3 linked regions of the Mus musculus genome follow. The protein of the gene in region 2 interacts with the protein of the main gene of each other region in a biochemical or structural test. Links are inferred from orthologs where the notes say so. Each region holds a gene or a part of one and is shown on either strand. Other genes may lie near its edges. The genes, in order: Rev3l, Mad2l1 and Ubd.

Region 1 (3,656 bases), on a different chromosome or scaffold from region 2:
TGGGCGCTAGGATCTGAAGCAGCAAGCATCTCAGTGACTGAGCCATCTTCTAAGCATCCCCATGCCCCAGAATGTTTTCTTAGAAACTTATATCCTATAGGTTTTATTGTTAATAATTAGCACACATTTAACTTAGTAAACACAAAAACTTTAAGGGAAAAACCTCTGTCCTATAGCCAAGTAAAACAAAACAACCAATTTAATTAGGAAGAATGAACATGTATTAAGGGTAAAGAGAAGACTTGTATACATAATTCTAAAATTTCAAAATATTTTCTAATTTAATTTCTATAAACTAAATTTTAGTTATTAATTTTGCAAAAATGTGAGAATATAAATCAATCTCAGTAACTGGTCAATATTTACTTTTTTCTGTTTTACACAAGTACAGTAGAATAGCAAGATGGAGATCAACAAAGAGAATTTAATATATCCCTTTCTGGTTAAACATTTCCATCCTTGTCCTATGGACAAATCCTGCTAACTAAGCATAGTGTGTGCAGCCTTAAAGCTGCAGTTTTACCTCGTGTAAAGCCTTTGCCTCCTGTAAGTTCTGTATGCTGACTTTGAAACCGTAGGTATTGTTTAAGGACGGTCCATCAATCTGAGAAGTTTCTTTCTTTGGAGTATTTACTGCCGCAAACTGATTCTATTTAAAAAAAAAAAAAAAGGCACATTCAGAAAGGGCATAAGCAACCATTCTTTCTTTGGATTATTCTTGCTTAAACATTTTATGTACTTAGTAATAAATAATGAACATGATAAACATAAAGATTCTCTTTAAGTTTAAGAAAAAGTTTATTAACATTCATTTTATTTTAGTAACTGTAGAATAGGATGCAATCTATAAACAAACCCTGATTGACAAGCCCCAATCCTGAAAGCAGTGGTCAGGCAGAGCTCACATATACTTATATCATTTACACTACATCACTACATGGATATGGACCTTGACCTTTCTTGAAAGAACATCAAGTATTTAACATTTACAACTGCTTGGCTAACATTTGCAAATGGTGCACCTTACCCCACTCTACACATATTGGAGAAAAGCTTTCAAGCATTTAGAATAGACACTTCCTATTTCTTTTACAATTTTCTTCTTTTCTTGCTGCCCCCCCCCTCTTTTGTTAGCCATGTCTCATGCTACTGCCCAGATTGGCCTAGTACTCATGGTGATCCCTGTCTCAGACTCCCCAATGCTGGGATTACATGTGTGACCAACCATATCCAGCTCTCTCTGTTCTTAAAATACCTCTTATGCTATTTAAGTAGATTAACCATTTTATGTAACATGTTGACTTATGTTTACAATGCACTGCTACTTGTTTTTAATATCAATAGGTTATAATTCAAAACCTTTATAAATCAAAGTTTGTAGTATAGCCTCAGTATAAAAATACATCTTATATGTAATGACCTTTCTGAGTAGTAGATAATATGGAAGTGGTTTCTGTCATTTATTTCCAAAGATAATGTCTAATATGTATAGAAGTTCTACCTGACTACTGCTTTCATACTTCTCAATTAAGAACTATCATATCTTTAGTATTTGAATAAGGACAGTTATAATTCCTCAACTTCAATAATACATAATGCTGCTTTCTTTTGTAACTTGGTGAAGAAAATTAAAAATTAAGTAATATTTGGGAAAAAACCCAAAGAAAAAAATATATTTTTGTTGAGATTTAAAAAAAAAAATCACTTATTTAGTCAGGTGGTGGGCGTACACGCCTTTAATCCCAGTACTTGGGAGACGGAGGCAGGTGAATCTCTGCTCGTTTGAGGCTAGCCTGGTCTACAGAATGAGTTCCAGGACAGCTGGGGCTCTATTACACAGAGAAATCCTGTTTCAAAAACAAAACAAAACAAAACCAAACAACAGAACACCAACTCAAGCAACTGAACCATTCCTTAAGCTCTGCTGTGATAAGATGCTCTGATGCTGTTACCAGCTAATGTATATGTATCGGCATAACCTACATTCTGGCTGTCATAGTCACTGTCTCTGGAATATTTGCATTTACACATAAGAATCTTTTCTATCCCAACAATAAAAAACTAGATTTTTCTCAAAGATGTGTAAATAATGATGGCAAAAATAATACACATTAAGTTAGTACACAGAGAGCTCTGAAGCGCAGACTTGGCCTTGCACTGAGCTGTAGGTGTCTGGCACAGTTACCTCCACTTGCGTTGTCAGGAGAACTCTCCTGAGACCATCAGCATCACTTCCTTTCTTATTATACAACTTCTGGGTTTTTGGTTCTGTAGAAAGAAATTTCATTTTTAACTTGTACATCTGCTTCTCTTTCTTAAAGCAAATTTTGTTGTTTCAATCAAATATCATTTGTGAATACTGCTATATGCATTTTTTCAGATTTCATAATTTTAAAATGAAATTAAAACCTCCAATTTCTACAAAATACTTCATACTTCTACATTTTAAAATAAGCACATTTATGTTTTACTACTGAGCTAGAAAACTTAGTCATTACTCTTGGGGCTAATTCACTCATTTATCATGTGTTTCTGATGAGGAGGGAGTGACATAGTTTCTTTTGTATTCTAGAAAGAATTGTATATGGAAGTGAAATGACAACAGTTTCCCTTATCTGTGCTGATTGTTCTGGAACCTCTGGCTTCTGTTTACACTGTTTTGCTCTACCTACCTACCCCCATAATAATAGCTTTTAATTCATAAACTAGGCCCAGTAAGATTAACAAACCCAGTAATAAAACAGAATTATAATATACTCTAATAAGTTACATGCATGTTAGCTCTTTCTCAAACATTCTTATTTTCCCCACTGTTTCAAAAAGACTGTGTTTTCCTGTTCCCCTTGGCATCTATGAATCTATAAATGGTCAGCACCATTACTTCTATGCTCCAGAGCCATGAAGTAAAATAAAGGCTATTTGAACATGAGTGCTCCAATCCCACAACAGTTGGATGGAGTACTGAGACAACTACTAAATGATGAAAAAGGGTATCATGGATAGAATGCATACATCAGACAAAGAGATGGTTCATATTTCATGATATTCAAAATAGCACATGACTTAAAACTTATGGATCATGTACTTACAGAGTATTATAAGAGTATTTTTGGACTGCAGTTGTCTGTATGCAACTGAATTTCCTACAAACCAAATTCTGAGTGAGGGAGGAACTAATTGAGAATTTATATCTATCTAATTAAAGCTTGGTGTCTTTGAACTGAAATATGTGTAGTAGGTACACATAAATTATTTCTTCTGATTGCCATGCACCGAGAGTGTCTAAGAAGGCCTGTAGACACTTAGGCCAGAGATGATAATAAGCCACATAAGGTTGTGGTGGCAGAGATAAAATGAAAGAACTTGGTAATGGATTGAAAATCAAGGTGCTTACCAAGACAATCAGGTGGTGCTACATATATATTGTGTCTGACTCTGGTGACTGACGGGGTCATAGTACTATTCACTGAGAGAGAGAGACAGAGACAGAGAGAGAGAGAGAGACAGAGAGACAGAGAGAGACAGAGAGAGAGATGGACGGGGTGGGGTGGACTGAAAGATCAGATGTACCTGTAACTACTCACGGGGCACATGAGGTGAGATGGTGGTGAATGCAGGCATTGAGATCATGATTTAAGGGTTAACCCTTGTAGTAC
Region 2 (3,543 bases):
GTGTTTGTGGTTATACCTGAACCTCTCACAATATAATATATGTGGGCCATGTAATCACTGGCTTAAACGTACAGGAGATGATCCTAGACTCATTCCTAATTTAGATGAAGCTCTACTGTACTTCCCCTATTGCCGTGAACTTTGTAAACTAAAGATTGCAAGCACTCTACATCAGAAATGCCTATCATGCTAAGCATGTGCTTCTGGAAGGTACTGTAATGAAGAGCAGTTTGTTTCTGAAGTCTTCAATCTATAGGAAGTCGTTAGCTTATAAAAACATTTGTATGTAATTTATTTTACCTGATTCAATCAGGAATCCGGTATTTAGATGTTACCTTTAAAAAAAAAAGTCAAAATTTAGGCTGGAGAAATGGCTCAGTGGTTGGGAGCACTGGCTACTTTTCTAGAGGACCCAGGTTCAGTTTCCAGCAGCCACATGGCAGCCCACAACTCTGTTTAACTCCAGTTTCAGGGGATCCCCGGCAACAGGTATGCATGTGGTGCACATAAATGTGCATGTGGGCAAAATACCAAAGTTCTACCAAGTTAATTTGTTGGAATCCATTTTCCTTTATGTTAAAGACTTACTGAAAATATGCTTACTGAGAGTGGTTGGGAAACTTACCATGCACAGAAGGACCAGATACTAAGATCAGCCTTAAAGAATGATGGGAAGGACAGATACAGTAACCCAAGAATATCTTTAGCCATTAATCTTTAGTCTCCTAATGTATTGCATCTGTGTTGTTGGAAGCATTTTGTTCAGAGAGAGTTACCAACGTGTTTTAATTAACTTAATGAAACCTAGAAGGAGTTATTTCTTTGATTTTTTTTTTTTTTTTTTTTTTTTTTTTTTATAGTGTTCGTAGAGAAAAGTCCCAGAAAGCCATACAGGATGAAATTCGCTCAGTGATTAGACAGATTACAGCTACTGTGACATTTCTGCCACTGTTGGAAGTTTCTTGTAAGTATTGTACAACTTAACTTAAATTTGCTGGAGAAAATGTTCATTACCGTTAGGAGGAGCCTACATTTGTTAAATCTCTTAATTTATCATTGCCTTGTAACATAAATGGGATATGGGAAGCAGAATACAGCACAAATAAAAACATGCATATCTGAAAACTGTGGAGACAAGGACTGGGGGGATGGCTCAGTGGTTAAATACTTGCTGAGCAACTGTAAGGACCTGAGTTAGGATTCCCATCACCAGGATCCTCCAGATGGTTGTGATGGCTCACCTATAACTCCAGCCAGAGAGGCAGGAATAGGCTCATCAGAGCAATCTGGCTCCCAGAACTATCCACGTTGGCCAGCTCTCGGTCTGCTTCGTCAATAAAGTGAAAGCACAGCTGTTAATTTGGAGACTCCGCCTGTGTGTTCATACATACACACTCAAGAAAATGAAGAAAAACATGAAAACCCTAAAAAACAGAAGTATACAACAATACTTTTGAAATTTTTCTCACAGTTTTACTACTTTTATTTTCTACTAGGAAGTATAATGCTCCGTTCTACACCCAGTTTCTATCAAGTAAAAGATTCATTAGACCAGGCTAAGCTACCTTTCTAGCAAGAGGTGGTTCAAAGTGAGGCCCAGTGAGAGAGAGGCAGGGAGGAGACTTCACTATTGAACAGCTTTCCTTTACTCCCATTCCCAACGTAGGTTCCTTTGATCTGCTGATTTACACTGACAAAGACTTGGTGGTACCTGAAAAGTGGGAAGAATCGGGACCGCAATTTATTACCAATTGTGAAGAAGTCCGTCTACGCTCATTTACAACCACAATCCATAAAGTGAATAGTATGGTGGCCTACAAAACCCCTGTCAATGACTGACGAGACGGTGAGGAAAAGGATGGAATTGTCATTCCCAAGTGTGCTTTTCCAGAAATTAAGTCAAATAGAGTTGCTACATTTCCTTGTTTAATTTTCCGGTGAAGAAAGCTAAGATCCGACATTGATAAATGTGTGTTATTGTTCCATTTCTTGGGTTCTTCCTGGACTTGTCTGAGTCGACAAGAGTGCTGCACATTGTTAAGGGGAATCAACAGATTTTGTTAGCATTGTGGAATGAATTCCTTTAAAAATGGTCATTGTACATAGAAAAACTTCTGTTAAAACGCTAACTACTTCCCTTAACATTGTAACTGGACCAGGATATAAAGAAGCGTTTAAATGTAAACACAGCAGAAGGGATCAAAGCTTTTTTAGTTCTGAGGGTCAGTCAGGAATGTTGCCAATCCGGATCCAGTGAGAGAGGCAGGGAGGACAGCTTTACTATTCAAAAGTTCTGTACTTTACTCTCATTCCCAACTTAGGTTCGTTTGGTCTGCTGATTTACACTGACAAAGATTTGGTGGTGCCTGAAACGAGGGAAGAATCAGGACCCCAGTTTATTACCAGTTCTGAAGAAATCCGTCTACACTGATTTACAACCACAAGCCACAAAGGGAATAGTATTGTGGCCTACAAAACCCCATCAATGAAGAGACGGTACACATACCATCCCCCATCACATTATACCTTCTGCTGTATTTATATTTAGATGCTTCTTTATATCTTGGTCAAGATTCTTCTGAGCAAAATCATTAGACAAAGTATTTAGCTTTTTAAAAGAAGTTTTTCTACCTACAGTGACCATTGTTAAAGGAATCCATCCCACAGTGAATCTGTTGGCTCCCTTAATAACGTGTAGCACTCTTGCTGATTCTGTGGTAAGTTCAGGAAGAACCCACGAAATGCAGCAGTAAGACACATTTCTCTTTATATAGACCCCATATTGAAATACATGCTAATTATTTGATTTTGTTGTATATATCTTGAGCTCACAAAGCAGTTGATGCTGTTTAATTTCTGTAATAAAGAACTCTTATTTTAATGTTTTATAAAAATCAAGCTTTAAAAGTCAGTGATACAAAAAAATTAAGCCTTGTGTTTTAAATTTGTGTTACAGTATCTTTGATATTTAGTTTGGTGCTAATATAGTCAGATACTTCAGTGGATTGAGTGGATGGATTGTGTTCATTTTGATTATGTGATGGGGATGGTTTTGTGCACTGGAAATTCAGATGCTGATTGCTGTGCTCAGAGATCTTGTTGTAATCTGGATATTGGCAGTTGCAGTCCTTGTTATAATAGTAGGCCAGGCCAGCATAGCCGGGTCAGAACACATGAGAACACTGCCCAGTTAGCACAAGAAGCTTGTAATAAAAATACCATGTCTGTATCATTTATTTGGGAACAAGGGTGGTACAGAAAAGCCTCCAAAATTACTTTTACATTTTGTAGGGCTTTATTAACCAATCAGACATGGTGGAAACCAATCTTTACACATTGAGCTAGGTGATGCTTCAAATACCATGACAATGCCAACTTCCAGACTGCAACCAGATCTCAGCATAGCACACAGTCCACAAGACCATCCCCAAACAACTACGTACCACCTTTTTCATCACAACAGTACAGTTAATGTGAAGACGCAAATGCCCTCTGAAATTAGTTCAAATATTAGGCTGTGTTGTCAGCCTTGTGTTTCTTATG
Region 3 (3,756 bases), on a different chromosome or scaffold from region 2:
ATAAGATGATGAGCACCCTGGTGCTGACCTTTATTTTTTTCTCCAGGCTTACAAAAGACCTTAAAAAATTCCATGACCTCGCCCATCAGGTGGAGTCTCTCTCGGGTTAACAAAGAAGTTATGGGCCCCACCTTACAGAGATCTCTTCCAGAAACAAGACATGGTTTCCATTCTTGGGGAGCCAGTCCAGCTAATGCAAACCTAGCCAGGTCACCATGCCCACTACAGAACGTCAAAGAATGTCTGCAAATAATAGGCAATTGTGCTGGCCCTGGTTAAACTGGGACTCCCATCTGCCGGATAGGATAAGGCTCTTCCCCTTCCTTGCCCACCCGACACGTGGAGAGGGTGTTAGGTTTTATTTCATACCAAATATCTTTAAGAAGATGATGACTGAATTTAAATAATTTATTAGACTATGATCCAGTTATGGTAAACAATCATATTCCATAACACATTCTTTCTCTATACTCTATAATTAAAATTCAATTTGGTTCAACAATCATTCATTGATCCACCTTCCCCTGCATCCCAAGTCCTGGAATTAAGTTTGCACCACCACACCTGACTAAAGGTTCAGCTTTTGCCCTCATCAACAACCCTGCGAATGAACTATGTTAGAAACAAGATTCACAGACTTGACAAATACTTTTAATCTACTCCACTTCCCTCAAATATTTATTTCATTCTCGTTAATTTTTTATATCATCAAGAGATGTGATTGGTAATAGCTCAGAGGAAATCGGCTTTGAGCTTCTCATCACCGCATCCCCGTGGTCATCCCCCAGTGCAGTGTGTTGTCAGAAAGAGCAAACTGCCACTCTTGATGTTGTAGTCAGCCATGATCTTTCCATCTTCCAGCTTCTTTCCGTTGCAATTCACAACCTGCTTCTTAGGGATCACAGAGGTCACACTCTCGATCATCTCTTTCACCTGGGCCACTGAGCTGGATCTTCGAACTCGGAGGAGGTGCCTTTGCCCCTCGTTTTTGGACTCCACCAGAAACAAGGGCAGCTCTTCATCACTGGGCTTCACCACCTTCAGGGTAAGGTGGATAGTGGTTTCCTTGTCAATCCCATAGGATGACAATTTTCGATGGGGCTTGAGGATTTTGGAGTCTAGCAGAAGGATCTGGTCCTGTACAGAGACCTTGGTTTGGGACCTAATATGTTCATTTATCTTCTTCACTTTGTCATTCTCAGTGGTCTCAAAGGTCATTAACCGCCATTGGTCTGAACGGACAACCTAGGCAAAGAAAGCCAAGAGCGTCATCTAAGAACGCCTGCCACCCTCTACCCCCTACTCCTCAGCTTCACTGTTCTCCTGGTTGGCCCTCTGGCTCCTTCTCAACAGTCTGCATCTCTCCCTCTCTTGCAACTTTTGATTCCTACATCATAACCCAAATCAGAACATCGGCTTCGTGAAACTATAGGGCTTCAAACGTTGTATACAGATCCCTAAGCAAACCCAAAGAGGATTTCCAAGATTTGGCAGCCTCACAGAATGCTCTCAGCCATGACTCACCCTCTGTGACTAATTCAGAAAGAACCCTAGTTAAGACATAGTCTCTACACTGCTGCGTTCTTATTAATGTTCCCGTCCATTTCTGGTAATGTCCATGTTGTGGTGATGCTGTGCTTAATGGTGTTAATGTGTATCTCTTGTATTTTATATCCATTGATATAGAACATAATATCCTTTTTAAATTAGACCAGGATCCCATTCACAGAAGACAAAAACTATATCTGAGTTTAACTTCATTTACTGAAGAATTAAGTTAGGGAAGAATCAGGCCTGTAAACTTTATGAAAACTTCCTCATACTCCATTCAAGGAACCTTCCCAACCTAGATATTCCATATTCTTCTTCAGTTTTGTCTTGTATTGGACATTGCCCTAATTGCACATTCTTTACATTGGAGCATAACCTGTTTAAGGTAATGTGTTAGTTATGTCACCAATAACAAGAAAAACAAGTTTTATGAAGTTTTCCTTTGAAAAGAGAGAGACGCTTAAGGCTGAGAACTCTGTAAGTTATTTTCCTAATTTCACATCTTGCCAGCCTCATGAAGCAAAGTGTCCTACCATTTCTCCTAAGTGGGGATGGCAAAAATGGCTCAGCTGTTTAAATAAATAACAAATAAGTAAATCAATCAATCAATCAGTCAGTCAATAAAATCTCTTGCTGCCAAGCCTCACCTTTAAGCTTGATCCCTAGAACCTATGTGGTGAAGAGAGAGAACTGACTCCTGAAGGTTATCTTCTGGCTCTGACCCACCATATACATGCACACATATAATAAATAAAATATTTTAAAAGTTTAATAAGTCAAATGACCAACCTCTCTTCAGAGTACCCTCTTCCTATTGTGCAGTTATCAATGTCTGCCTTTTCTCCTAAATGTTTCTCACCCAACTGCCTCACCTTCTAGACCACTGTCCCCTCCCAAGTTGTGGAACTGTACCCCCAATACATGGAAATACTTTTCCTTCCCATTCGTTTACCAAACCCCAACTTACACAGGTGCGGACAGAAGCCATGTCTGTAGTCAGAGGCTGAATAAGAAAAGAGTCCTTGTGTCTGCTTATATGTGAGTAGCTGGGTTGGAAATCCCCAAGTTCAATGTGTTGTCCAGTTTAGCAGCAACCTTTGTTCTCAATAATTCCTTTCACTTTTGCTGGGGTAGAGTTCATAATGGACACTGTTTGTACACAGATTTCTCCCCTTAGCCAATCTATCTGTATTCCTAGTTCTGTGCATAGAATAGTCATTCTAAGATAGGAATTTTGCCCAGGCTGAAAATCCCCCTACCTTCTCCCAATCCTGCCTTAGTTCTGCCCAGCTACTACTAATCTTCCACTAGCTAGCTTGATAATTTGTGATGCTTGCTTACCCTCCCTCACTGCCTAAATGAGCCTGGACTGCAGCTGTGACTTGGTGTCCTGGGGTAGGGTACCGCTTGCTACATACATTATGTTGTAAAAATATGTTCCCCTCTTTTAATATAGGTTAACATAGAAGGCCATTCCTGGTGTCTCCCCAGCATATAGAACCTTGCTTATAAAGTCTTTAAACACACACACATACAAACACACACACACTTACTTTGGATTCTTGGTTCTTGAACCTCTAATACATTTCCCAACCTGACTCAGAATCTGCAAACCAAACATACTACTTGAGAACAATCCAAAATCAACAGTTAAATTCTGACTCCTACCTTTCTCCATATGTGCACCACAGTTCCTGGATTCCCACCCCCACCCCCTTGGCTCTCAGATGCCTCCTCTCCCTGAGGCCAGAGACATGTGATGGTGCTATTCCCTCACTGTTGAAAGTTGGTTGAATGAGACCAAGATTGTGACTGAGCTGTCTCCTCAAGAAACCTGATACTCCTAATATTCCAAGTTTGACATTGGCTTCTGAGGTAGGACACTCCATGAAACTAATTTTCAAAATTGTTTATTAAACAGCTTCAGGGGTTCTCCCCCCCCCCCAAAGAACTCTGTAAATTTTCCAAATTATTCCTCTTGTTTTCTGTACTTGAAGTGGCTATGTACTCATCCACTGAAAAACCTTTTTTTCTTTTTTTGATCATGTTTTCCCCTCCCCCAATTCCTCCCAAATCTTCCTTCTCACCTCCCTACCCGCCCAACTTTACGTTCTTTCTCTGTCTCTCAAACACACACACACACACACACACATTCAAAAATGTAAAAACAAATAAGCAAAAGACCATAAAGACCATGAGACAAAA

Evidence for each region.
Region 1: the proteins of Mad2l1 (region 2) and Rev3l form a complex in vitro, tested with the Homo sapiens proteins (2 studies listed by BioGRID). The link is inferred for Mus musculus from reciprocal best matches to the Homo sapiens genes MAD2L1 and REV3L.
Region 3: the proteins of Mad2l1 (region 2) and Ubd form a complex in vitro, tested with the Homo sapiens proteins (2 studies listed by BioGRID). The link is inferred for Mus musculus from reciprocal best matches to the Homo sapiens genes MAD2L1 and UBD.

What each region holds. Positions count from the first base shown.
Region 1 is NC_000076.6:39,829,511-39,833,166, reverse strand, and holds part of Rev3l (DNA polymerase zeta catalytic subunit), read right to left. Parts: intron 2,269-3,656; coding exon 2,186-2,268; intron 650-2,185; coding exon 524-649; intron 1-523. UniProt on the Homo sapiens protein: Catalytic subunit of the DNA polymerase zeta complex, an error-prone polymerase specialized in translesion DNA synthesis (TLS). Lacks an intrinsic 3'-5' exonuclease activity and thus has no proofreading function.
Region 2 is NC_000072.6:66,538,105-66,541,647, forward strand, and holds the end of Mad2l1 (mitotic spindle assembly checkpoint protein MAD2A), read left to right. Parts: intron 1-860; coding exon 861-964; intron 965-1,666; coding exon 1,667-1,839; 3' UTR 1,840-1,846; exon of another isoform or gene 1,847-2,321; 3' UTR 2,322-3,003; downstream 3,004-3,543. UniProt on the Homo sapiens protein: Component of the spindle-assembly checkpoint that prevents the onset of anaphase until all chromosomes are properly aligned at the metaphase plate.
Region 3 is NC_000083.6:37,192,735-37,196,490, reverse strand, and holds Ubd (ubiquitin D), read right to left. Parts: upstream 2,600-3,756; 5' UTR 2,540-2,599; coding exon 2,519-2,539; intron 1,246-2,518; coding exon 778-1,245; 3' UTR 390-777; downstream 1-389. UniProt on the Homo sapiens protein: Ubiquitin-like protein modifier which can be covalently attached to target proteins and subsequently leads to their degradation by the 26S proteasome, in a NUB1-dependent manner.